Linked DNA regions of Drosophila melanogaster. Changing the gene in region 1 together with any one later gene gives a genetic interaction. Each region holds a gene or a part of one and is shown in the gene's direction. Other genes may lie near its edges.

What was found.
Region 2: of shtd (region 1) and mr, changing one suppresses a phenotype caused by changing the other (phenotypic suppression), as found in Drosophila melanogaster (one study listed by BioGRID).
Region 3: of shtd (region 1) and stg, changing one suppresses a phenotype caused by changing the other (phenotypic suppression), as found in Drosophila melanogaster (one study listed by BioGRID).
Region 4: of shtd (region 1) and rod, changing one suppresses a phenotype caused by changing the other (phenotypic suppression), as found in Drosophila melanogaster (one study listed by BioGRID).

The regions. Positions count from the first base shown.
Region 1 is NC_004354.4:15,456,419-15,464,287, reverse strand, and holds the start of shtd (shattered), read left to right. Parts: upstream 1-1,846; 5' UTR 1,847-1,952; coding exon 1,953-3,000; intron 3,001-3,060; coding exon 3,061-3,184; intron 3,185-3,242; coding exon 3,243-3,404; intron 3,405-3,462; coding exon 3,463-4,681; intron 4,682-4,740; coding exon 4,741-6,785; intron 6,786-6,844; coding exon 6,845-7,279; intron 7,280-7,343; coding exon 7,344-7,869. Other genes in the region: CG6294 (uncharacterized protein), read right to left, coding at 1-1,460.
Region 2 is NT_033778.4:23,970,788-23,975,921, forward strand, and holds mr (morula), read left to right. Parts: upstream 1-1,643; 5' UTR 1,644-1,721; coding exon 1,722-1,784; intron 1,785-1,845; coding exon 1,846-2,362; intron 2,363-2,418; coding exon 2,419-2,657; intron 2,658-2,732; coding exon 2,733-2,913; intron 2,914-2,972; coding exon 2,973-3,674; intron 3,675-3,725; coding exon 3,726-3,989; intron 3,990-4,054; coding exon 4,055-4,296; intron 4,297-4,352; coding exon 4,353-4,553; 3' UTR 4,554-4,621; downstream 4,622-5,134. Other genes in the region: CG3065 (uncharacterized protein), read left to right, coding at 1-1,110; PPP1R15 (protein phosphatase 1 regulatory subunit 15), read right to left, coding at 5,091-5,134.
Region 3 is NT_033777.3:29,251,641-29,257,752, reverse strand, and holds stg (string), read left to right. Parts: upstream 1-1,952; 5' UTR 1,953-2,824; coding exon 2,825-2,880; intron 2,881-3,791; coding exon 3,792-5,175; 3' UTR 5,176-5,610; downstream 5,611-6,112. Other genes in the region: CG45544 (uncharacterized protein), read right to left, coding at 856-1,089. UniProt on the Drosophila melanogaster protein: This protein functions as a dosage-dependent inducer in mitotic control. It is a tyrosine protein phosphatase required for progression of the cell cycle. It may directly dephosphorylate Cdk1 and activate the Cdk1 activity.
Region 4 is NT_033777.3:31,579,344-31,586,969, forward strand, and holds the start of rod (rough deal), read left to right. Parts: upstream 1-1,607; 5' UTR 1,608-1,679; coding exon 1,680-1,775; intron 1,776-1,837; coding exon 1,838-2,175; intron 2,176-2,264; coding exon 2,265-2,612; intron 2,613-2,672; coding exon 2,673-2,872; intron 2,873-2,936; coding exon 2,937-3,145; intron 3,146-3,200; coding exon 3,201-3,901; intron 3,902-3,961; coding exon 3,962-5,229; intron 5,230-5,290; coding exon 5,291-5,685; intron 5,686-5,745; coding exon 5,746-6,254; intron 6,255-6,312; coding exon 6,313-6,682; intron 6,683-6,739; coding exon 6,740-7,004; intron 7,005-7,074; coding exon 7,075-7,626. Other genes in the region: pygo (pygopus), read right to left, coding at 1-287.

The DNA.
Region 1 (7,869 bases):
TACGGCTCCTCGAACTCCTCGTAGTGGGCCACCAGGCTGTTCTGGTTGCAGCGCAGCTCGATCAGTCGGATGGGCCTGCTGGAGCGAATCTCACGCGTGTCGCGGTTCAATTGTATGCTGGCCGCCTCAAAGTCGACGGCAGCCGTCTGCTCCAGCTCCAAATTCAGCCAGCGATGATGGGCCAGGATTACGGCACAGTTGCGTGCAAAATAGAAGCTATCGTGGCGTCGCTGGTTGTGGTAGTTGTCCAGCAGTTGGCTGCTTGGCTGCAATTTCAGTTTGGTGAGGCGGGCGCGGTTGCCCGTTGCGGCGCCACTGCCGGCGGACGAGGAGGAGGAGGAGGTGGAGCTGGATGAGGATGATCCGCCCTCGGATGAATTAGTATTGGCAAGTGAGCCCCTGCGGGCGTCCACAATTCGCTGCGGCAAATGCTCCGTGGGCTGGTCCACGGTCAACACGCGATTCAAGTAGTCGAAGCCCTGGCCCATCACACCCTCGCTGGTGTGGCCCAGATCGAAGCAGTGGCCCAGTTCGTGGCACACGGCGCCCAAGGTGCTGGCATAGACGCCGCCGTACGTCCGCCGATAGTTGCTCTCGTCCGGCAGGCGGGCGATGTCCACCCGCTGGGCGCTGCGCACACAGTCGCCGATCTCCGCGAAGCTCGTGGGCCACGCGTAGAAGTGGGCACTACCAAAGAGCGCCAAGCCGCCGCCACCGAGTGCTGCGTGTCCCTTGAGATGCCGCCGGATGTTGGCGTACGAGGAGTCACCGCTGGCCACCACTGCGTCGCCGTCGTAGCGCGTGCAGCCCACAAAGGCGACGAACTTGAGGAGCAACTGGTGGCCCCACTGCGGACAGGCGATAATCTCGCCGGCGAAATGCTGCCACAGCTCGTCCTCGCTCTTCGCCAGCGCCTGTTTCCGGGTCAACTGGCTGCGGAAGGCGCAGCACTTGCCGTTGAGCGTGAAGGTGCGGTTGGGAAAGCCCGCCGCGTGCAGTTTGTGCGCGTAGATGGACTGCACCAGCCGCAAATTAAGATCGATGAGGGAGTGCACCTCGTGCTGCTGCGCCAGCGTCTTCTCCTCGTCCTGACAGAGCAGGTAGAGCGGCTGCACCCGGTAGGAGCTGCGGCGGGGCCGGTAACTGAAGCTAATCGTTCGGGTGGCCGTGCAGGATCGCAACTCCAGGAGGCAGGCGCTCTCCTCCTCCTCCTCCTCGCGATTCGCTTGTTCCAAGTCGAATAGGAGCTTAAACTCGCCGCCGGCCGACAGCTGGGTGAGCTGCTCCTGGGACAGGTGCTCGGGCAGATCGAGGATCGCCTTCAGTTGACGCGCCGTGGAACACTTGGGCACCAGGCGTCCCTTGACCAACAGCAGGCTGTGCTCCAGGCGCTCCGACGTCAGCGGCTGCTCAACCTCGATGCTGTGCGCGCGCTTGCAGCCGGCGGTGCCGCTGCTCATTGCCAAATTCTGGCCAGGATTTCCGGTTCCGTTTGTCTGCTCAAATCAAAATCCAGACTCCGAAATCCAATTGGAAAAGCCGAACAAACGCACTGTGCTGCCAGACCGGGAAAATAACCGGTACGCCAGCGGACCAAAGCTGGTTGCTACAAGTGACCAACCGGCATTGTAATCGATAGTAAAAGCAATCGAACTGTTATATTTTATATTTTTAAAAATAGGCAAAGCCATTTCTCTAGCATTTCTTTCGGTATGACTTTATGGCATATACTGGTAATTGTTTTGTTTGTCGCGATTCTGGTCTTCCTATCGTTATCGGCCTTTTGATAGCTCTCCTCATATCGAAGTACTGCAGGCCCGATAGAATCAGGCACTTATCGCCACCCGATTTCGATGACAGTTTTTAAATAATTGTGCAAATTCCTTGCTAATAATAAATTGTAATCAATTAACTTGTCAATCGCAATTCTGGATGCACCTGGCGACGCGGACATGATCGCCGTCGCAGAACCGCCGCTGGAGTTTGTGCCGCGCGGCCGTCAGACGTCCGCGGAGCATCCGGGCCCACATGACCAGCCAATGGCGCGCCACCAACTGCCCACCACGGAGCATCTGCTGCTGCAGCGCCTCCAGAATGTGAACATCTCGTCGGCCGGTGAGGACTGCCCTTCGGGCGGACAGGAGTCGTGGACAGTCCGAGAGCTGTACGATGACTACGAGGCATCCGAGGAGCGCGCCGCCCTGCGACGCAAGTTGACCGAGCGGACAAAGCGATGTGGTCTCCAGGCCACCTCGCTGCCGAACAGACTGCTCAATCCACCGCTGGTGCGGCGCGTGGAGCCAATGTGCGACTATATGGTTAACAACGAGGAGGAGCTCTATGTGAACCGGAACACGGTGGTGTGGACACAAGGCGTCAACGATGACGACGATACCGACAATGGGGTGTACCGGCGCATGTGTTTCACCACCGATACGCCGGTGCGCTTCGCCTGCTTCCTGAATCGCAGTTTTGTGCGCGGGCGACTGGCGCAGCTGAAGGCGGCTGTCCACCCGGATGACGACCATTTGACCGCCATCTGTGTGATGGATCAGGACGCCCTGCGGGTGTACTGCAGCAACGGCGAGGACTTTCTAGCCAATCTGGACTTTCCCGTGTCACAGCTGTGGCAAACCAAGTATGGCCTGCTGCTGGAAAAGGACTCCAGCAATGCCTTGATATCGCACATGTCCATTCCGATGCCGCGTCTCTTCTCTATGTCGCATCCGCTGCACGAGGCCTGTCCCGTCGTCCTGAAGACGGCCACCGGCTCCACCGGCTACATGACCGAACCGGAATACACTGTGGTCTTCACCACCGAGGAATCGGATTTGGTGATGCTGTACGATGCCAAGTTCTTTAAGCATTTCGTTGCACGCCTGCGTAAGGTAACGCCCGAAGAGATCAACTATGTGAGTCAGCAGATGGAGCTGGGACAGACGCTAATGGGACCCAGGTCGATGGCAGGCAATAGTTTCAGTTCCACCAAGCAAACTGGAGGTGAGTTGATAGCAATGCCAGCAAGGGCATACGATTTATTCACTGTCTATCCATTGCTAGCCACGCCAAAAGCAACGAACTTATCGTTTGCGGCCAGGAATATCAACACCACCACCACCGGCATGGGCAACCAGTTCGGACTCAGCCAGTCGCAGTCGTTCAGCGGAGTTCTTGGACAGTCGAAGTACGTTTAAGTCGCTGTCATCCATCACTTACTTATTATTGCCTCTTCTTCCGTTTAGTCGCGCCTCCCTAGGCACTCCATTGAGCCAACTGCAGAGCAGTATTAGCCAGCAGTCCATGTCCGTGAAGGATATGCGCAAGTTAACGCACGTGAAGCCGGCAAAACCCATTGAGCCGGAATTGTGTATGGAGCACATCTGGACGGAGAACATCTACGGAACGTCAGTAAATGCCACCAAAGATGCCACTTTCAGTACTAAAATTGTCTGTCTTCCTTAGTCAACGAGAGTTCTGCGAGATGGCCACCCGAGCATTTATCCACACGGATTTAGTGGGTCAGACCTTTTTGTGCTACCTGCTGGCCCGCTCGTGCCGCCTTCAGTTGGTCCGCCTCACTGGCTATGGAAGGGGCGAGGTGCAGCTCTCCACGCACGCCTCCACGCTGGCCGCGAAAGATGCAGTGGGTCTGAAGAGAATGCACATGATTGCCGTTCTCGATCCGAGTGGCAGCTTACTTCTATACACAGGCACCGTGCTCATATCCAAGGTGCACATTACGCCGTTTTTGGCGCCTACCTCCATTCCCACACCGCTGGTAACGCCCATGACTGCTGCCCCATCTCCGTCGGCTTCGCCCGCTCCGTCTCACGTTAAAACACCAATGGCAGCTGCTGGACCAGCAAGCGGCATTCCGTCCGGCAGCAGTTCTTTCGTGGAGGTGCGAAGGAGCAGCCTACTGCCCACAAAAGCGCCGGGGGATGTGGCTGCCTTCGAAGAGGAGCTGCACATGCTGTCGCCCATCCAACCGCAGCCGGTGTCCTACACACAGCGGCAGGCGCACAATGTCTGCAAATCCCTGAGAGATCCGGCGGGAAATCGATTGACTTTGGTTTATGCCACGGGCAGAATGCTCAGAATAGCGCTGCCATTTCTAAATGATACACGATTGCTCACCAGATGTGTGGCTACGCTACGGCAGGTTCTAAGTCCGACCCAGTTCCTGGACTTTGTTATCCGTTGGTATAGCGACAGGAATCCGCCGGGATCGAGGAATTACTCCATAGAGCAGGAATGGCTGCTATTCCGCTCCACACTGCTCGCCCTAATGGGTCTGACTGCTGCACCGGATGTGGATGCGGGCGAGAACTACGCTAGATGTGCCACGCCACCGCTGCACACTCAATTTGGAGGCGGCGCTACTGCGACGGAATCGAGTGACGGTTCTAGTTGCAGTTCCAATTCTACACTGGGTGGCCAGGATGAGCCGAAGAAACGGCGAATATACAATGATTGCGATGATTTCACGGACGACGACTGGGAGTTCCTGCTGCTCCAGACGACACTGGCTCCCTGCGGAGCCGATGGCCACAGCTACAGCGTGAACATCGGTGCGCTGCTCTTCCGAATGATTCCCGCCATCTTCTTCAGCCTGCATTTACTGTACGAGGATCTCAAACTGGACGCTGACTTTTATGGAGCGCTTCCATATCTGGCAACGGTAGGTGAATCATTTAATAGATCCATTAGTGGTTTTCTAACACCATCTCCTCGTTCCAGTTCCTACACCAGCTGGCCATCGATATGCAGCTGGAAAGTTATGTGCTGCACTACATACTAGACTTTCCGGAACTCTCGAATCGTACGGGCAAGCTCTCGTTGCTGGGAGCTGAGCACGGAGCTATGATGCTGCACCAGGAGCTTCTGAGGGTTCCGGCACCCAGTGTGTTTGCCCAACTCGAGCACATTATTGTCGGCGAGGAGGAGGTGATGCCTTACACCTTCTTGGAGTGCGTTAACGAGAGAAGTCGCATTTTACTGCAGCTCGTATCGCTGGTGACTCATGGGCATGAGCGTCTGAATTACTGGTGGCAGCTGCTTGAGATCCCCGGCGCCGTTCAGGCCAACTTTACGCGGCGCTCTAAGCGTAATATCACGGCGGATGCTCCGCGTAGCCATCAGATGTTACAGCTACTTCTGGCCATGCGCTTGACACGGCGAGACATTGAAAGATTCCCGGCGGCAGTGCATCTGATTGTAGCGGAGGCACTGGAGGAGGCTCGCCTCTCGCCGCCCATGGGCTGCAGCATGGCCACCTATGAACTTATCCTGCGTCCAGAATTGGCGGCCCACGCTCAACTGCCGTTCCTCGAAACGAGCACTGGGCAACCGCATTGTGGCCGGGTCTACAAGGAAGATTCACTGTCAGCGAGGTGTCCGCCGACCGGGGGATCAGAAACTGATTCACCGGCCCAATTGCGCCGCGACGACATGGACAACATGGACACAAAACTACTGCGTCTGCGTTTTCCCGATGACATGCGGGTGGATGAAGTGCGCCGTCTGCTTAACAGCTCGGAACCGGTGGTCATTGAAGTGCAACAGGCACCGGGAACCAGCGATCACGAATTCATTGAGGAGCAGGAGAAGCAACTGTTTGCACTATGTTCGCGCACAATGACACTGCCCGTGGGCAGAGGTATGTTCACCCTGAGAACGATGTTGCCGCGGCCCAGCGAAAGCTTGACCATGCCCAAATTGTGCCTGTTGGGCAAGGAGCCGCTGAAGGGCACCACCATCGAAATGCAGCAGATCGAATTCCCAGCGAATATGCAAATGTGGCCATCGTTTCACAATGGCGTGGCCACTGGCCTGAAGATCTCACCCCAGGCTCAGGACATAGACTCCAATTGGATTGTCTACAACAAGCCCAAAACGCATTCGCATAATGCCCTGGAGCACGCTGGTTTCCTCATGGCCCTGGGCTTGAATGGTCACCTAAAGACGCTGTCCTTCATGAGTGTCTATAAGTATTTGGTTAAATGCGATGAGATGACCAACGTTGGTCTGCTGCTGGGCATTTCCGCTGCCCATCGCGGCACCATGGATACGAAAACCACAAAGTTGTTGAGCGTTCACTTGGAGGCACTGCTGCCAGCCACCGCCATGGAGTTGGATATACCGCAAAGCACACAGGTGGCTGCTATAATGGGCGTCGGTTTGCTCTATCAAGGATCAGCTAAGCGCCACATAGCCGAGGTGCTGCTCCAGGAGATTGGCCGTCCTCCAGGCCCTGAGATGGAGAACAGCATTGAGCGCGAATCGTATGCCATGACAGCAGGTCTATCCCTCGGATTGGTTACCCTCGGTCAGGGTGAATCGCCGGCGGGCCTAAGGGACCTCCAACTGCCGGATACCCTGCACTACTACATGGTCGGTGGAGTGAAGAGACCCATCGGCGGTTCCCAGAAGGAGAAATACCGACTAGCCTCGTTCCAAGTTCGTGAAGGCGATACCGTCAACATAGATGTCACTGCTCCGGGTGCAACGCTCGCATTGGGACTTATGTTCTTCAACTCGGGGAACGCAGCTATTGCCGAATGGATGCAGCCGCCGGATTCGCGGTATCTACTGGACATGGTGCGGCCTGACTTCCTTCTGCTGCGCACAATTTCCCGGGGCCTCATCCTATGGCAGGATGTCCGGCCGGACAACGCGTGGTTCCAGGCACAGTTTCCGCGAGCACTCCGAGCTCACCTAAAACTCCCGTTCTACGAAAATGAGTATGCACCCGAGGACTATGACGTGGACTACGAGGCCATCTCGTGAGTAACTGAAGTTGAATGTCAAAGTAATTAGATACGAATTATATACTCTTGTCCAGGCAAGCCTATTGCAATATCATGGCTGGAGCTGCCTTCTGCATTGGTCTCAAGTACGCCGGCACTGAGAATCTGGTGGCCTTTGCCACGCTGCGGTCGGTGATAAAGGATTTCCTTCGCTTCCCCAGCAGGCCGATGGGCGAATGTGCCGGTCGCACCACTGTGGAGAGCTGCCTGATGGTGCTGCTCATCTCGATCTCGTTGGTGTTCGCCGGCTCCGGCAACTGCGAAATTCTTCGCATAATTCGGTTTCTCAGGTCGCGAGTGGGACCACAATATCCGCACATAACCTACGGCTCTCACATGGCCATACACATGTCGCTTGGCCTGCTATTCCTCGGCGCGGGTCGCTTCACCATTTCCCAGACACCGGAGTCGATTGCTGCACTGGTCTGCGCCTTCTTCCCCAAGTTTCCCATACACAGCAACGACAATCGGTAAGGATTAATATATTTGCAGCAATGTGTTAGCACACTTCACCGCATGGATTTACATTTTAAGATACCATCTGCAAGCGCTGAGACATCTCTATGTACTGGCTGTGGAACCGCGCCTGTTCCTTCCCCGGGACATTGACACCAATAAGCTGTGCCTGGCCAACATATCCGTGTTGGAGGTGGGTGCCACCGAGCTGCGCCGCCTGCCCATCGCTCCCTGCATCCTGCCAGTGCTGAGCACCCTGCAGCAGGTGGTGGTGGACGACGAGAACTATTGGCCAGTGTGCTTCGAGCGATCGCGCAACTGGGATCAGCTGGAAAAGGCGCTGGAGATGAGTGCACCGATTGATATTAAGAAGCGAACGGGCTGCCTTTCCCACTTGGAGGACCCGGACAGGCTGAAGAGCATGCTGGCCCAAACATTGACGATGGAACAGAGCATCTGTTGGCAGATCGATATGAACGACCTGCAGCAGTTTGCCAGCGAACGTATGGTGAAGCAGTTCCTCAGTCGCTGCCTGGACACCAAAGGCACGGATTTGAGTCCCCCGGAGCTGATGAAGCGGCACCAGGTGATGCTGCTATTCTAC
Region 2 (5,134 bases), on another chromosome or scaffold:
ATGAGCGGCGCAAACATACACGAGCAGGCGTCCGATATGATACTGCGGGCCTCGACGATTTTCGAGGACGTCAAGCACGACGAGGCGAATGTGGAGAATGTGCCCCATCACGGAGTTGAGACTGAGCCTGAGGACGACTCGCACTACGGCGGGAACGGCAACTCTAAGATCCGCATAATGCCCAGTGTGAAGCTAATGGCCACGACGCTCGCCTCCGATCCCAAGCGCAAGTTCGTCTGCCCGTATGACAACTGTACAAAGAGCTACGGCAAGAGCTCCCACCTGCGGTCCCACCTCACCTGGCACACGGGCATCAAGCCCTTCGTCTGCAGCGAGCCCAAGTGCGGCAAGGGATTCACGCGCTCCGATGAGCTCAACCGGCACCTCCGGACGCACACCGGCGAGAAGCCCTTCGAGTGCATCCAGTGCACCAAGAAGTTTTCCCGCAGCGACCACCTCACCAAGCACCTAGCTACCCACGACCGCCAGCTAAAGGGCAGCACCCCGAAGCGAACAGTACCGAGCAGCAGTGGTGGAGTCCGGCTCAAGCCCCCGAAGAAGCAGATTCATTCGGAGTCGGACTCGGGCTTCCACTTCATGGCCGCCATGGTTGGTTGCGGGGAGCCGAGCATGAAGCACCACCACCAGCAGCAGCAGCATAACCAGCACCAGCAGCCCGTGAGCATTATCGACATCCACCACAAGCCGATAAAGATTAAGCTGGAACGGCCGGAGCACAGCGACAAGTACCAGATCGTATCTCCTGAACACCAGATGGATAACCATGGCCACAACCAGAGCCAGTTGCCCGATTTCCTTAACCAGGCGAAGCCCGAGGTAAAATACGAACCGACCGAAGAAATTGTAAATACCCTCTCTCAGCTACCGCCGGCGGACGGACCCGGCACGTATGGGATGCCCCAGTTCGTTCAGGATCGGCCTTTCTACTGCCGGCAGTGTGAGAAGCGGTTCAAGCGGCAGGACGACCTCAACCGACACATACGAACGCACACCGGGGAGAAGCCCTACGCCTGTCAGCAGTGCTGTCGCCGGTTTGTGCGGAGCGACCACTTGAAAAAGCATCAGCAGACGCATTTGAAGATACGATAGTTTCATAGTTACTCCTTACTCCTTAAGTCGCTAGCCATTGGCATCCGCATCCAATCGATATTGGCTACCACACGGGCGTGTGTCGGGTGACGCACACAGTACAATAAAATTAAATAAATTCGCAATCTAACTATATTCCTATGCAAGATCAGCGCCGGCTCTCAAATCTCAATTTGTATGTATGTATGTAAATAAGTCGTATGCAATTTAATTTTAGCTCTAACTGTTTGTGTTTGCCGGAACGTGAAGACATACATCTGTATTTCTGAAACTCTTGCTGTTTCTTATTTTCTGGCTACTAAGCTCCCCGTATCTATTAATATAATTTATTTTAGTAAAACTGTTATTTATATTTATGGGCTAATTGATGGGGAACTGATAGTTCATCAGGATCAGGACTCGATCCAGTTTGAAATTTGGAATATGATTAATAATGGCCTATAAGAATGAATAATAGATATATGTATAATTTCTGATAAATCAAAGATTCATCGACTATCGGTTCGGTTGATAGAATCGACTTATCGATAACAGCATTATCATCACCATTGGCGTTTGATTCAGAGTTTCAAGCAATGTTTTGCACTGTTTAAAATAATTACACACAAGCGATGTGCGACTTTGACGCTTTGTGGGCGGATGTACTGAGAATCTTTCCGGTTTTGGGTGGAGCGGTAGGTTTATTCCTTCGGTTCAGTAATAGGGATTGGCGCTAGCACTCAGAAACTCTTACAGAACGCTGTATCCAATGATCCGGTTGAGGAGAATGTATTCCAAAATGTTCGCCAGCACCTGATGGTGTTGGGCAGCATAGACACCTTCGCGGCGGTTGTGGACCTGGAAATCCAGTCGACTATTCGGAATGTCCTGGTGCCCAAGTTCTGGAAGCACATCCACGACGGCTTGGTCTCGTCTAAATTGCAGGGCTGGATTAACGACCAAGCTCTGGCCATAGAAGCACTGCCCGATAAGAACGGACTGTTCACCCAGTTCATCGACGCCATCAATGAGCTGCATGACAGCTTTCAGAGCCTGATGCAGGTGAAGCCCAGGCTGATCCAGCTAGTTGGAGCTGAGACAAAGCCCACCGCAAAGACGGTGAAGCTCATGCAGGAGGAAGGCATTAAGAACTGCTTAAGGGACTGCTTGCTGGCTCAACTGCCACCCAATTTCAGTGTGGTCGTTGGGGCCTTCTACTGGGTGCACTTTAAGCTCTTCACCAAGGCCTCAAATCTCGCATTGACCACAGTTGGTATGTATCCGATACATACTCCTGTGGTTCCCATGCTCACTTGCTTTCCCCTTCAGACTCTGATGTTTTCGATGAGCTCCTCTGCGTTGGCTGCAACTTCGAAGCAGAGCAATGCTGCTGCCAAAGGCTGACGGATATGGTTAACAAGACAAACATGAAGCTCTTCGAGATGAACCTCATTGACCGTCTAACTGGGAGTGCTTTAACCGCTCTCATCAAGCTTAAAATCAAGGAGCACATCAGCGATACATGCATGGGAATCTTCGACAGAAGTCATCTTAAGCAACTGGAAACTGTAAGTTGAATGGGAATACCTTCTGTTGTCATAAATAAACTACTTAAGTAACTCATTTATTACCTACCTTTGCAGTGGCTATCGGATGTCATAATGTCCTGGCTCACAAACATATTCACGGAATGGAAGTCTAAGGATAGCATAAGCGATATCGAAGTTCCCGAGTCTGTAAAATCCTTCAAAGTCAAACTGACTTACTTTATGTACGAAACGTTTGCCCAAAGCGTTATTGGTCAGTTCTTCAGCATTATAATTGGTATGTGCCCGTAGATTCAGCCAAGAGTCCCCCAACTACATGTATTTATTTGTAAACAGACTATCCCGATTCCATTCCGGCTATAGATGACTTAAAGATTTGCATGGAGAAAATAGATATGCGAGTCTACCTCACTGAATCCCTTAGGAACTCGCTAGAGGCAAGGATTCTGCATCCTGGAGTCAACACCATGGACATATTAACGGGTTACGTGGCAGCCATCAAAGCTATTCGCCATCTGGATAGTACCGGAGTCATCTTAGAGATGGTAACTGCTCCAATCAAAGATTACCTGCGGAAACGAAACGACACAGTGCGACGCGTAGTCACTGGGTTGACTGAAGAGGGGCCCACGGACTTATCCGAGGAACTCGCCAAGGGAGAAACAATTAAGGAATGCAAGGACTCGGGTACCGATGAGTTCAGCAACTGGGAAAATTGGCAACCCGATCCGTTTGGTATAGATGCCAGCATTATGCAGTACAACAGCTCGCGGAAGATGAGATCGGCCGACATTATATCGATGGTTGTAGACATATACGGCAGTAAGGAGTTGTTTATGACAGAGTATCGCAATCTAATGGCGGACAGACTGCTGGCCCAGTTAGATTTTAATTCCGAAAAAGAAATTCGAAATCTGGAACTGCTGAAAATCCGCTTTGGCGAATCGCTGCTGCACAGCTGCGAGGTGATGTTGAAAGACGTAACCGACTCCAAGCGAATTAACGCGCACATCCACAGCGATGGCGACCGAACTGAAAGTGAGTTACTTTTAATTTTCAAAATGCTTTAACGAAACCATCTCATTTTAGATCAGTTGTTCGACATCTCCTCGCTGATTGTTTCTGCTCAGTTTTGGCCGTCCTTCAATAAAGAAAGCCTCCAACTTCCTGAGGAGATTGAGAATGAGTTCAAGAAGTACACCAAGGCCTACGAGGCATACAAGGGCAACCGTACGCTCAACTGGCGTACAGTGACTGGCCGTGTAAATATTGAAATCGAGATCGGTGACCGGACCATGGAAATGGTTGTGAGCCCCATTTTGGCGGTTATTATATACCACTTTCAAACTAAGAGTACGTGTTTACAGGGCAGTCAAGTTTTACAGTTTTACAACCGCATGGTCATATTTTTTTTTCAGATGAATGGACTATCGAGGATCTTAGTTCCATTACGAAAGTTCCAGCGTCTGCACTGCGGCGTCGTCTGAGTTTTTGGCAAAACCACGGATTGATCTCGGAAACGACACCCGGAATATTCACGCTGCTGGAAAAGGAATCGGAGAAGTCTCAGTACGAGGACATGAGTCTGGCAGAAGCTGACGAAGAGGATTTGGAATCCGCAATGGCTTCTGCCAGCGATCAAAGGGAAGAAGAACTCCAAGTAAGTGCCTTCAACTGTTCCTAATTCCGGCTTTTTCTTATACAATTATGCCGCAGGTTTTTTGGTCCTATATTGTTGGAATGCTCACGAATCTTGACTCCATGCCAATTGACCGAATCCACCAGATGCTGAAGCTGTTCGCCTCCCACAGCGGCGGAGTGGAGTTTACTCAGGATGAGCTGAAACACTTTCTCCAGCGAAAAGTCAGGGAGCACAAGCTAATATTCTCGGGTGGAGTTTACCAATTGGCCAAATAAGTTTCGGAGATCCAAAACCAAGTTGCAAACGACTGAAGGAATCATGAAATAAATAATGAATTAACGCGATAACATTTATGAAATTTACTGCTCCATGTTAAACGTACCTATTTTTTCAAACTGCCGTCTTATCTGTTTCTATTCAGAGCTTATCTCTCACCCACGTACACACAAAGTCTTTACCCAAACTTGTTTGGCTTGGGAATTTGGAACACAATGCAAGCAATCTTATGTGAAAAGAAGAACACACAGTAAAATACGTCTATTGCTTAATTTATTTCAAGTTATATTAAGGTATATGCTAATCCCGTTATCAACAAATTCAAACTTCTTAGGGCTCTAAAACTAAAGGCGAAGAAAAGTGTACGTGGTTTTGATATACTTTACAGGTTAAACAGTTTTTGGCTTCATAAAATCAATCACGAACGCAGTGGCTAAATCGATCACTTTATACACGCAAACAACTTGGAATTTAATGCTGTAATCGTTCTAAACTGTAATCTGTACATCAAAAGTTACTTCAGGTATGCGGACCAGCTAGTCCTCGTGCAAGAATCGAGCTTGGTAGACACGATCTCGGT
Region 3 (6,112 bases), on another chromosome or scaffold:
ATGTACTATGCAGATTTATCTGAAATAAATTAATAATTAAATTATAAATAAATTGCATTTCAATAGCTTTTAGAGGGATGTTGAAAATTTGCGCTTTTTGTATCTCTCACCTAGACATCTGATCGCTGGCCCCTCTTTGCGCTTCCTTCTAATTGCATTGCATTGTCTACCACACACAAACACACGCGCGCGAAAACTGGGACCGCCCAGCCTTTAACCCATGCCTGCCCACCGCACCACCCTTAACCCTTTTGGCAGTGATTTGCGAAAAGCGCGCGCGCACAAAAGTATCTCAAACGCTTTTTTCGCACACTTTGCAGGCATTTTAATGCACAGACGACCGAGAAAAAAATAAAATAAGAGCCGATGCTCAAAGCTCACTTCTTGGAATTTCGATTTACAATTTAGCTCTTCACTTTTTGCTGGTCCTGTGATTTTTTTTGTTCGTTATGCTGTTTTTGAGGTCCCCCGCTATTGTTGTGCCCCATTCCCATTTCCATTCACATTGTTGCTGCAATTTCTTTCTCCGCAGCCTATTCTCATTCTTTATCAAATTTACCCACTCACACACGCACACACACGTGTGTGAGTGTGCTTTTGCATACGCTTTTGATTCCGCTTCCTCCGCTTTGCCCTTTTTCTGGAGCCCGGCGATATCACGGTGGTATTATCTGAAATCCATAATTGCGAGGCTATAATTGGAATGAATAAAAGCATAAAAACTGGATAAGAATTTGGTAAGTAAAAATGAAAATAGCAGAACAACTCGAGCTAGAAACTACTTTTAAATAGTAGTAGTAAGTTCACAGATTTACCTCTAGTATATGTATTTTGCCACACTGTGCGCTCGGATCGCTATGAATGAGATTGGTTCTGAGCTTTTTCCTTCCCTATGCGCTTTTTTAACTTGTTCAAAACCACTTTATGATTTCTGCGTCCTTCTCGTCGTTTTGTGCTGGTTGTTTTCCATAAAGATGATCCTCTCGGCTCTTCCTGCAGCAACAACAAAAGCTGGCCAAAGGAATTCAGCGGAATGAAACCGTAGCTCATTTGGTTGGTGGCTTCGGCTGTGGTTGGTCCCGAAATCATTTACTTTCGCCTGCTCTTCAAGCGGTGTGAATGATATGGCCTGGTTGCACTGGCCTGTCCTTCATTTGTTTGCCGCGAACCTTACAAAAACACACTCGAACTGCACAGCACAGCCCATGGGTGTTCGCAAACCCCCAACCCTCCTTAGTGAACCCCTCGGATCCTCCAGAATGACTCCCGCAGGGCATCGGCGCATATGTAACTCGATTTTTGCTTTAACTTTGCCGCGATTGCACACAAACGAGGGGCTACAGTGGAGCTTCGGCGTGGGCAACTAGTCTGAGCTTCACATTATCGATTATTGGTCATATCGCATGGTTGACATCATGATTTTCCACGTGTTTGCTACTGTTAGTAGTAGTTTATCTAGCTTAAGATCTGTGTTTGTACGGATTCTCATTAAAGACACACGGTCCATCGTGTAGAGTGCTACCTGTGAATGGATCTCTGTGGCTGGAAGCTTTGCTCATTTAACGACATTGGCGTCTACGTCTGCAGAACACAAAGGAGCCACGCCCCCTCCACGACCGCCCATCCCGCCGGTGCGGCGATCATATGACTGCGGCCACTACCTGCTGATATGTAGTTTTCAGGGAGGGGTTACAAGGGGGGACAGGGGGCAGCAGGAATGCGTGGATCTCACATTATTACCTGCAAACGACACAATCGATGCCGCCTTGAAATTCTGCTTAAAGATTCGCGCAGTTCTTCAGCGTTTCCTCTTCGCTTCTTGGGGCTCCACACTATTTTCACATGTGTTCGGTTCGGAGCCTCCTCGGCTCCACTTCGGCTCCAATTGTGGCGACTTCGGATCCCCTTCGGCGGTACGCGTCGCGGTATAAAAGCTCGCGCGCCAAAATCAGTGGCCTCCATAGAGCTGGCGACCACCAAGGCGCCAGATTCTCCTCGTTTCTCGGGACATTGGTATTCGGTGCGGGATTTTGCGATAGGGGAAGTGCAGGGGAAAGGATTCTACCTGTTGCCGGCACTCTTGTGCTCCACATGAGCAGAGATTTCCAAAACTGAGTCCATATGATCCTGATTCTCCCATTTTCCCAGTTTTCCTTTTCGCATCGCACATGGCTCTGGCCCCGTCCCCGTTATGTGTGTTGGTGTCGCTCGTTGCCCGTCTCCCTTCCTCTTCTATTGGCACTTCTGGGAAGGATAGGAAGGAAAGGATAGGATGGGAAGGCAAAGGAAAGGAGCTGAGAACTAAGAGCTAAAGAGCGAAGCAGAGAGAACAAAAAACGCGCGCCATCTCGCTCGCGCCCATTAGCTCATCAGCTGATCGTGATCGGCCGGGGTGCGGTTATAAAAACCAGCTGCTCGGCATATTCAGCACATTCGTTCTCAGTTCGTCGTCGAGTCAACAGCTCTTCTTGTTCAGCCTTTCGGTTCCTCGTTCGGTGAATTGAGATTGTGCGGTTCAAATTATTGAAGAAAAAGAAAAACCTCGCACAACCACACTCCGAAATACAAAACAAAAAATCATGCTCAAACGGACACATTAACAAAAAAAAAAAACAAAAAAACCTAAATTAACTAAAATGCAATACTAGCCAAAAACCAAGGACTACCATCTCAAATTCTAAAAACAAACTGTAAATGAGTGCAGAGTGACCAAGAACAAATTGTGTTTTAGCAATTTCTTCGGCTTCAGACTCGCCAGCGAAATCAAACATCTTCGGCTCTTCGAAGCAACCAACGCAACACATAACACAACAAAACCAACAAAATGCTGTGGGAAACTATTGTGGAGGAAAACAACTGCAGCATGGATTGCAATATCAGGTAATTATGCCGCCCAAGGATTAGCAACAGCAAACCCCTTTTGCACCAGGAATACCAGTTGAAAATACGCGATAAAAAGTGCAAGTTCAAGAGCAACAGCAACAACAGCAAAGCAAAAAAAAAATACAAAAAACAGAAATGTAAACGATGGGGCCAACAAAAGTAAGAGTTCTTTTTATCACGCTCGGCACGTTTGCTTTTTGCCCGATTTTTATTTTGGCGCTCAGCTGTTGTTTTGTTGCTCGCTTGCCGTTTTTCATTCATTAAACCGGCTTCCGCGAGGCTCCAAAAAAAAGCAGCAGCAAAAAATGCTTTTTGTCCGTCGTCCGTCAGTCAGTCATTTTTTTTTTTTCGATTTTTGTTCCTTTTTTCCTCCGTGTTCTTTGCGGTTCTTTGTGGCGTGTTTTTGTTGTATTATCGCTGCGCTTGCGTGACGTGTGACCCAAAAGCAAAAGTCAAGCTGAAAAGCAGATGCATGCGAAAAGCAAAAGGGAATTCCATTTGGAGAACCGCTAATGCTTAAGTAGAATCAAGAAGAAGAAGATAAGGCGGTACGCAACGGTTCCCTCGCAATTTTAGGGAATTGTAAAAATTATCAAAAAAAAAAAAAATGGTATCAATGATATCGTGTGCGCAAGTCGAATCCCAAAAATTCCAGTTTTCGAAGCTGCATTAAAGTAAATTTCTAGTTCAGCTCCCTCTTCACCCAATTACAACAACCCCTCTCTGTATTTTCTCGGGTATTTTTGTTGTTTTTACACCACCAACGCCACCACCACCACCAGTTTGTCAGTATTTTTAGCTGGGTTTAATGACCCGCTCTTGCGAGAGTTTAGGGAAGCAAAAGCAGCTCTCTTCCTCGATGCCGAACAGTTGACTAATCCTCCCCCTCTCTTTGTTTGCTCTTGCAGTAATAACACCAGCAGTTCGAGTAGCATCAACAAAATGAGTGGATCTCGTCGTGCTCGCCGTTCCCTGGAACTGATGAGCATGGACCAGGAGGAGCTGTCGTTCTACGACGACGACGTTGTGCCCCAGGATCAGCAGCGATCGGCCAGTCCGGAGCTGATGGGTCTGCTCTCGCCGGAGGGCTCGCCCCAGCGCTTCCAGATCGTCCGCCAGCCGAAAATTCTGCCAGCTATGGGAGTATCAAGTGATCACACGCCGGCGCGCAGCTTCCGCATCTTCAACAGCCTGTCCTCCACATGCTCCATGGAGTCCTCCATGGACGATGAGTACATGGAGCTCTTCGAGATGGAGTCGCAGAGCCAACAGACCGCCCTGGGCTTCCCCAGTGGCCTAAACTCGCTGATCAGCGGCCAGATCAAGGAGCAGCCTGCTGCCAAATCGCCAGCGGGTCTGTCCATGCGCCGCCCTTCGGTCAGAAGGTGCCTCAGCATGACGGAGAGCAACACCAACAGCACCACCACCCCACCACCAAAGACCCCAGAGACTGCCCGGGATTGCTTCAAGCGCCCGGAACCGCCAGCATCGGCCAACTGCTCGCCCATCCAGAGCAAACGCCATCGCTGCGCCGCCGTTGAGAAGGAGAACTGCCCCGCACCCAGCCCACTCAGCCAGGTCACGATTAGCCACCCCCCTCCACTGAGGAAGTGCATGTCCCTGAACGACGCCGAGATCATGTCCGCCCTGGCCCGCTCCGAGAACCGCAACGAGCCCGAGCTAATCGGCGACTTCAGCAAAGCCTATGCCCTGCCCCTGATGGAGGGTCGTCATCGGGATCTGAAGAGCATCTCCAGCGAAACAGTGGCTCGCCTGCTTAAGGGCGAGTTCAGCGATAAGGTGGCCAGCTACCGCATCATCGACTGCCGCTACCCCTACGAATTCGAGGGCGGCCACATCGAGGGAGCCAAGAACCTGTACACCACCGAGCAGATCCTCGATGAGTTCCTCACCGTCCAACAGACTGAGCTGCAGCAGCAGCAGAACGCCGAATCGGGACACAAGCGCAACATCATTATCTTCCACTGCGAATTCTCCTCGGAGCGTGGACCGAAAATGTCCCGCTTCCTGCGTAATCTGGATCGCGAGAGGAATACCAACGCCTATCCGGCGTTGCACTATCCCGAGATCTATCTGCTGCACAACGGCTACAAGGAGTTCTTCGAGTCGCACGTTGAGCTGTGCGAACCACATGCCTACCGCACCATGCTGGATCCCGCCTACAACGAGGCCTATCGCCACTTTCGCGCCAAGTCCAAGTCCTGGAACGGCGATGGCCTGGGCGGTGCCACCGGGCGGCTAAAGAAGTCGCGCTCGCGACTGATGCTGTAGGTTGTGGGATGATCGTGCAGTTCGTTATCTAAGTTTGGGTGTTATCGTATTGTATATATAGACGTATAGGGGTATTTATTTCATGCTGCTTTTAAGTTGATTTTTGTTGATTTTCATTTGTTAATCCGTAGACTAAGTTTCTCGCACACGACGCAGACACACACCCGACACTCGCATTCATGCAAAACAGACAATTTCATTTGGAATTTAACGCTTTTGTTTAGTTATTATTGTTTTTATGGTTTCGGCTTTAGTTCAATTATTTAAGCACTCTAGTTCAAATTTTAAAGATAACCAACGAACAAGCAAACGAAAAATGTGCATTATAATCTAAAAACGTGAGGAACCATGTCATTTAAATTTAAGAGGCCGATCCCGAAATCAGACCCCTTAATCATTTGTAGATGATAAGCAGAACAAAAAATGGCTAAAAACAAAAAAAAAAAAAGAAAACAAATATCACACAAAAACAAACACGCTCATTAATTTCATCCATAAAACTTTATTTATAAGATCTATCGTTTAAGAGTTGAAAGTTGTAAACTTCTGCTAGGTACAATTTACGCTTATTATTTGTTTATTTTTATGTAATCCGTAACCGAACAACAAGGCACCGAAACGCAAATGCAAACAAGAAAACAAATATTTTACCATGTAATGATTATTATTTAAGCAAAGCTTATTTTTGCATCAAAAAAGGCAATATTATTGAACAAAGACCATCAATTTTAAATATACATTAATACACGACGAAAAAGAACTGAAATTCCTGGAATTTTTATCATTCAAATGGCGCCAAATGCGCATTATGTGCGGGATTTCGGTACTCTATGGGTTTTCACAGAATTAACAACTTGAAATTGGCGCGCAAAGCGAGTAGTTGCACTTTGTAAATGTCAGAGGGCGCTGTGTCCGTAAAAAATTGAGTATAACAGCG
Region 4 (7,626 bases), on another chromosome or scaffold:
GAGGCAATAATGGTGTCTCCGAAGCCTCCCATTGGCGGAGGGGGCAGCAAATCCTGCGGTGTGGGTGGCGCCTGCTGCTGCTGCATGGAATTCGCAGCAGCTGCTGCAGCCGCCGCCGCAGCCACCGCTGCAGCGGAGTTGGCGGCACTTGAGGTTTTTCGCCGCTTCTTCGGATTGCTCGGCGCCGAGATGATGTCCGTGGGAGGCGGCGGCTTAAAATCGGGCGGACAGAGTCCGCCCGCTGGACCCGGCAATCGATATGGCGCCATACCAAGATTGTGGGTCATATTCGAGGTGTTCTTCTTCCGAATGGTGGCAGCTTTTCTTCAACGGCGTGGGGCAAGAAATTCGGTTGTAGCGGCGTCGCCAATCCCGCGCAGGAGATCTCGACGCTGGTAAAGGAGTGGGTTTGGTTCTGATGTCCCTAGGGAGGTGGGCACAAATCCACTGGATCCTTCGGTGACCAACTACAATGGGTTATGCTTGGTGGGCTTGGGCTTTCTGCCGGTTATCCGGCCTGCGACCGCCTGGAGTTTGAGTTCCTGGGAGTGTGAAGGGTGCCAAATGAGTATCTGGCATCCTGTGGGTCAGTCCTCCTCAACTACTCACCAAGACATCTCCTGGCCAGGACCCTTATGAAAATCGCGTTTTTAAAGCAACTGACTCCCAAAACGCAGGTAAACACTTTCGGCGCAACGAACGGCAACCCCGCTTATTTTTCGGGTTGGCAACTCTACCCTGGAAACCCAGCGTCGTGTTGTCTCGTTTCAAAGCGCCAAGCACCTGCCGCTTCTCAGTTTCTTACTGATCCTTGATCACTTCAGGTCAGGAGTTCGTTTTTTTAGCACTCTGCACTGCGGTTTGCCACTAATTCCCCTTCATAAACCCTTCAAAGGGCGCTTTCTGGCAGCGCTCTTCTTCTTGCCAGCGATTTTATGTCCTCCGCTGCGCTTCCCGTTCCGTTTTAATTGCAGTGCAGCGCTTAACTGTTGTTTATTTACGGGTTCTTTTTGCGTTTGTCTTTAATCGGAAAACAAAACAACCGGCGGTTATTTCCCAAGGAAATTGTGTTAGGGTTTACGCGATTTGTGAAGCCTGCGTTTTCGGTTGGCTTTTTGTTGATTTGATGGCCACTGCAGCATCCACTTTTAATTAGCGCCGTTTATAGGAGCGGCACACGCACGGATTACCGTTACGCGGATTCGGCGGTCCGGCGGACTGACCACTGAACCGTTATATAGCAGCAGCACATTAACCTTTGTTTATTTTGACCAATTTTTGCGTGCGAAGAAGCGAAATATAAATAATTTTCATTGCAAGTCCGCCAGTGTGACCGTTTGCGCACGTCAAGAGAAATGCCGGAATTCCGTCGGCGGCTCAGTGTGGCCAAAGCAAGCCAGCACGAAGTAGTTTGCAACTACGTTAACATTTAAAAAGTAATAGGTTTAAAGGAGAAATTACGATTTGGACATACGTCATTTAAGTAATAAATATAAATTGCGTAAACGTATTAGCCCCAAGGTCAATACGTAGTGTGTCTTCATGCCGCCAATCGTCTATCGATATGCGGGTAATGTTATCGGCAAACTCTCAGGCGACGCTTGTTTATTGGCGGTGTTTAAATAAAGAGTTTAAAATTGGCAGGTTTTGCACATTAGGCTAGAGCGGATTGAACAGCAATGTGGAGCAACTTCGAGGCGTCCTCCCTGGAGGACGAAACCATCTCCAACATATTTTCGTCGCGAGGCATCTTCCAAATAAGCAGTGAAGAGGAAGTGAGTCCTTATTGTGCAGAATCTGCAGTTGGGTTTCTACGCTCGCCTTCTTTCATTGTCAGGTAAACAAATATCCAGATGTCATGGCCTCCGTGCAGTGCGGCAAGATGGTCATTGGCATCGACAAGAGCCTTTTGCTCCTGGAGGACGAACTGGTGGCCAAGTGCAGCTTTCTGGCATTCGGGGCAGCCATTGAGGCCATTGCCATTTCTTCAAGCGGCAACCTGATTGTATGCGGCCTCAGCGATGGCGAAGTTCACGGAGTGTTCATCAAGGGCCTGCTCCTGTTCAGCGTGGCCGTCAATCTGGAGGACGTGAGCCTAACTGGCGGGACCTTCCGGAGCATCCATCAACTGGATCAGCGGTTTTACTTCACCTGTAAGAATGGAAGCATCTATAGGTAAGCCATTCACAGAGATGGGCTCTGGCATATGCGTGATAAAACTGGATCTTGACATTATTTCATTAAACGATTCAAACGCTGTGTAGCTTAAGCGACATTGATGAGACCTGCTTGGAAACGTTAGGCAATATGAGCCTGAATGAAAACGAAACTATAGCTTGCGAAAAGGCCCTGCTCGAGGACGTCACCATTCAACGTCTTTCCAAGGGCAGATCCTCGTGCAGCGTGGACTGTGCAGTGCTGCTCAAGCGGCTGCTGACCGGCAACATCAGTGCCGAGAACAATCAGGATGATCTGGAGGCGCAACCCGGTCTAGTTATCACTGGAGATCAAAGCACTATGAACTTTAGGAATGCAGCCAATGACGTGACACGAATAAATTTGCCCGCTCAGTACGGCAGCCTAAAGCAGATCTTCAACTTGGAACACTATATGTGAGTGGGTTTGCTTATTGTGGTGCTAGAATCCCTCTAACGTGTATCTGGGTTTTGCAGTATCGCACTCACCGATTCCGGCCACTTGGTGGAGATTTGTCCATACACTCGCACAGTGTACATGTGTCAAACTACCCAACAAAAAAATCTGCTCATCGAGGATCTGCTGGTTATGGAGTGCAGCGAAGATAACATTGAGCTTCTGGTGCTGACGAAATCAACGGCGGAGGGACGCTTCATTAAGATAGTGGAGTACCCAAGTATGAGTCCAGCAAACATAAAACATAAACATACAGTAAGGCTAAAAACCTTGTGTCATTGCAGCGCTCAATGTGAAGAACGAGGTAGAAGTTCCTGATCACGCATGGCTTGTGCGTCAGCCTAAGTGTGCGGTCAATCTGTATTATCTGGCTGCCAAGGAAGTCAACCAGAGCAGCATACCCTCCGTGGTGGAGATGATGCTCGTTTCCGAGACCGACCCCAGTGATCGTTTTAAGAAGCTGATTTGCAAGGGGCGACTGGAGGAGGCTGAGGTATTGAGTATAATTGATCTCTTAGTCATTCATTATCCATTAACATTTGCAACAGGAATTTGGCAAGCAGTTTGAGCTGTGCCTCCAGCCCATCTATGAAGCCAAAGCGAAACGCATTTTGGTCGAGCTTTGCAACTCGAATTCACAAAACGTGGACACTAAATTCCAAGACTTGCTGCAACTGCTGTCTCAGGTGGAAAGTAAGGCATTCATAAAGAGCCATCGCATGATCAACTTGAACTCGAGGCACATCCTTGAGCGGTATCTTCACGAGGTCAAGAAGCGGTTGACTTTTGAGGACGACGAGGAGGATATGTTGGAAATCGACGAGCAACTGCACCGACTTAAAACTCTGGCCATAATAGATCCCTACGAATGCAACACGGATTGGCAGAAGTTTATTTACGATAACAACTTGGTCAGGATGGTCAAGTCGCTATTCAACACAGATATGCCCACGGCTTGTCTCATTTGGCGGCGGCATTCGAGCAGCATTCTGCCGCTGCTAAACGAAGATGAGTTGCGCACGCTTTTAGGGTTCATTCCGAGCAACACCAAGCCCTTCAACGTTGTCCAGTGGTTGCGTCAGTTCATTCCGATGGTCAGCAACACCCATCCTAGCATAATGCCCTTTATCACTGACTGGAGTATTGAGATGACGCGGAATCTGCAGTATAGTCCGCATTGGCCGGATATCGGCCTGGAGTTCTGCACAAAGATACTGGACATTTTTGAGGAAATCCAGTTTACTTACTCGTAGGCAAATCCTTTTTTCGCCCTAAAATATGATAGATTTAACTTGTATATCCGTTTCAGCGATGTGCGGCGTCAGCAAGAGCGCAACGTTGGAAAACTGCGGGATCTTGTCAACGCACTGCAGGATCTTTCTGTGCTTAAGACCAACTATAACATGGGCTTTACACTGGACAACTACATGCAGGATTCCATCGACGCCACTGCGTTGAGCATTTTGCAACACGTTCAACTAGATAAGCTTCAGCGTCTGGTGAAGAACTTCATGTACCCGATCTTCCAGGAGAAGGGACGGCAGCCACTGGACGTGATTAAACAGTACATATCACAGTTAGTAGCCAGTCGGCTATCTTCTAGTTCATGGCTGGATCGGGCGATGGCTTGCATTGAGCTGCTTCACAACGAAGACAGCCGTTTGGAGTGCGCCTTGTCTGTGCTGCAAAACGCACCTGTGCCCTGGCCTGATACACTAGCTCCTCTAATCCGGCTGCGTGCCTCCACTCATCCATTGGCCGTGAAGATCAATGCCGAGTATGAGATTCAGGTGATTAAGATCATGAAGGTCAAGTACGGCTGGCCGGCCGACAGCTCCGATATCAACCTGGAGCTTTTCATGATGCGCATTGTGAAGTTGAACCTTCCGGACATGCTGGACGACATCAGCGCCCTCACCAAGGCGGCGCCGGAGTTATCAACTAGTGCCAACTTTAACTGCTGCTATCAAATGGCACGGAGAGGACAAGTTGAGATGGCTTATGAATTCTTCAAAAAGCTGAATGGTGAGAAAAATTCGAAGAGCGCGAAGGAAGTGGTGGAGATCATGGCTAACATCTTGGAGAACAGCTCCTCTGCTTCGTTTGAAAGTGATATTAAAGTGCAGGAGCACCTGAACGTCCTTGAGCTTTTTAAGTTGTTCTTGCCGCATGTTGAGTCCGTTTATGAGCGCCGCTACCTAGTGATCAAGCATCGTTTCCGCCTAAGGAAATTCGGCATCCTTTTGAGCTGCAGCAGCGAGCTGATACCGCTGCACAGACGTCATTGCCTTCTGGATGAGGCCATTGAAAGGATAATTGAGCGGGCCCAGGCCACGCTGAATGTGTCCGCATTCATAGCCAGCGAAATAAGCGAACTGTGTACCGCTCTCGGTCTTCCGAAAGTATTTGGTTTGCACCGCATTTGCCAACGCATTGGATGCCTGCCCCTCAGCTGCGCCCTCGCTTATCATGTTGTAAGCTTCGTCGACTGTGTGCCCGCCAATGCAGGCGAGTTCGTCAATCTTGCACTTGAGCTGCTGGTTCAGCAAATTGAAAGCGCCAAGGGAAAGAATCAGGGTAAGTCGTATACAGCTATGCAACAATGGGATTGAACGAAAAATCCATTTATGTTTTGCAGAAACGGCCTCCTCCCTGCAGTTGATCAATGAAAACGATCCGCTTAGCTTTTATTTAGCGTACGAGTTGCTCACCTCCGCCCTGCTCCACGAGAGCAGCCGTCGTCACGATCTAGTTGAACTCATCAAATACATACGCGTGGCCGTAATCCACTACCCGCTAGACGCCATTAAGAGTCACTACGACGGCAAGGAGCAGGCCGTCAACGAGCACATCTGCCGGGCCCTCGATGGGATTTCGGTAGCCCTGGGCGAAACCACAATAAACTTCAGTTGTGCTCTTAACGGATCCTTTGACGTGAAGACTCTGACGGTTCCAACGACTACGAAGAAGCGCTACTCGGTGTCCATGTTTGATGAAGTAGAAGTGCAGCCTATCCAGCAGCAGCCTCAGAAGGTATTGATCGTAGACAGCTATAATTGACTATAGTTATAATGCTTTCTGTTGTCTTCGAAGAAAAGCGTCGGAGGTCGCATGGCAATAGTGAAGTTCTTGGCTCGCACTCTGTTGCTTATGGTAATCGAAACGGAGCCAAACAACTCATTGCTGATGCAGGTTCGCAATGAACTGCCGGAGAACACAAAAGCGGATGTCGAAAGTGCTTGCGCTGACTTCTTTCTGTCACTGGAGCACTTGACGAAGGTGAAGGAGCACGACGCTTGGTACGTTATGTCGCAATATCTGCTGGATTTCCAGAAGCAAAACTGTCGCACGAAGCGGATCATCAACGAGGGCTTTATTACGCTGCAGCTGCGCCGCATATTCCGAAATGCGATGGGGAGCAAAGATGTGAACTTCATAGAGCTTTTCACCATGTTGGTGGTGGACAGCGAGGCACTAGCGCTGCTGGAGAAGCTCTCCGTTGAAGTAAAGACCGATCTGCAAAAAATCAACTTCCTGACACTATCCGCCATGTACCACGAGCATATCGAAGACTTGGACAGTGTGCACATGATACGCACCAAGTAAGTGAAGTATTACATTAAAAGTCTAGATGTTAAACTTCGTTTTATTGGTTTGCAGGAGATTGAAACTCTTCTATTACCTGGAGTTTTGCCAACAGGATCATAGAATAAAGGGCAAGTTCAATGCCGACATGGACAACATAGAGGACCTGCTTAAGGAGTTTCACAATAAGCAACTTGACGTTCAGCTTTTGGAACGCATGAGCAAGGACTTTGGGTTCGACTACCAAAAGATTCTTATTACCCAGATACTAAGCATATTGAGCGCCCAGGAGTTGCGCTTCGAGGTGAAGAGGGATACCTTCGGCGACGAGGAACTGGTTATGCTAAGCAGCGCCCAGGAAATGCGCGATATGTGCCAACCGTACATTAATGAAATCAATAATGTCGAGCTCTTTACTTCCAAGTTAAAACACTTTATTGAAGACGTAAGCTCACTGATGCCACAAATAATCTTTTTTTTAATATCTTTGCAAATCGTTTAGATCAACATTTACTTCTACGAGTTGTACATGTGTGTGATCAACATCCTAATGTACTTCGATTCGGCTCCGAAGGAAATGGAAATCTGGATGAACATTTTGCACTTCCTGAGACACAAGATGATCACCAGAAGACGCAATCGGCCAGGTCAGGTGGAAACCGACACGTGGCTGAAATCACAAAGGGAAAATGGCGTTATGCCGAAGATATCTCGATATCGTCTGCCTTTTAAGCCCATCGTAGAGCAACCTCTTAAGGATATTCTTGGTATATTCAACTGAAATAGTTTAATGCTTAATGCTTCTGTTTAATTATAGTTTCCGCTTCTTCTATTCAGACAGCGAACTAAACGTGGACAACTGCCAAAGCTGGTTTCCACTGATTCAGATGTACACGGCTTTGAAGGGATCCAAGGATAGTTCCCAGAACTGTGACTACTTCTGCATGTCAGCAGTAAAGAATTCGATATCGGAGTACAAGTCGAAAAATGATTCGGAATCATGGAGTCTTCATCCCACGAATAATGCCTTCCTGCAGTCAATACTACGACTGGTCGAGAAGGTGAACAACCCAAACAAGGCATTTCTAATACTGTACTTCGTGTCCAACTATGCTCGTGATGGAGCCGATCAGGTGGAGGCCTCCTACGAGTGCTGGAAGTTTGTCAAGGAGAAGGGCCACCTGATTACAGATCCAAAGAGTCGCGAGCAGGTTGCCAAGGTGAAGCGACGGTATCCTATTCAGAAGACCCAGCACCTGCTGTATGTCTATGGCCTGACCGATGAGAAGCTACTGCGCCAAGTTGAGAACCCCACCGAGCTTATTCAGGCGCTCTACCACCATGAGCTGATCCTCAAGTCCAGCAAAGTGGATATTAACGCTCTGGTCG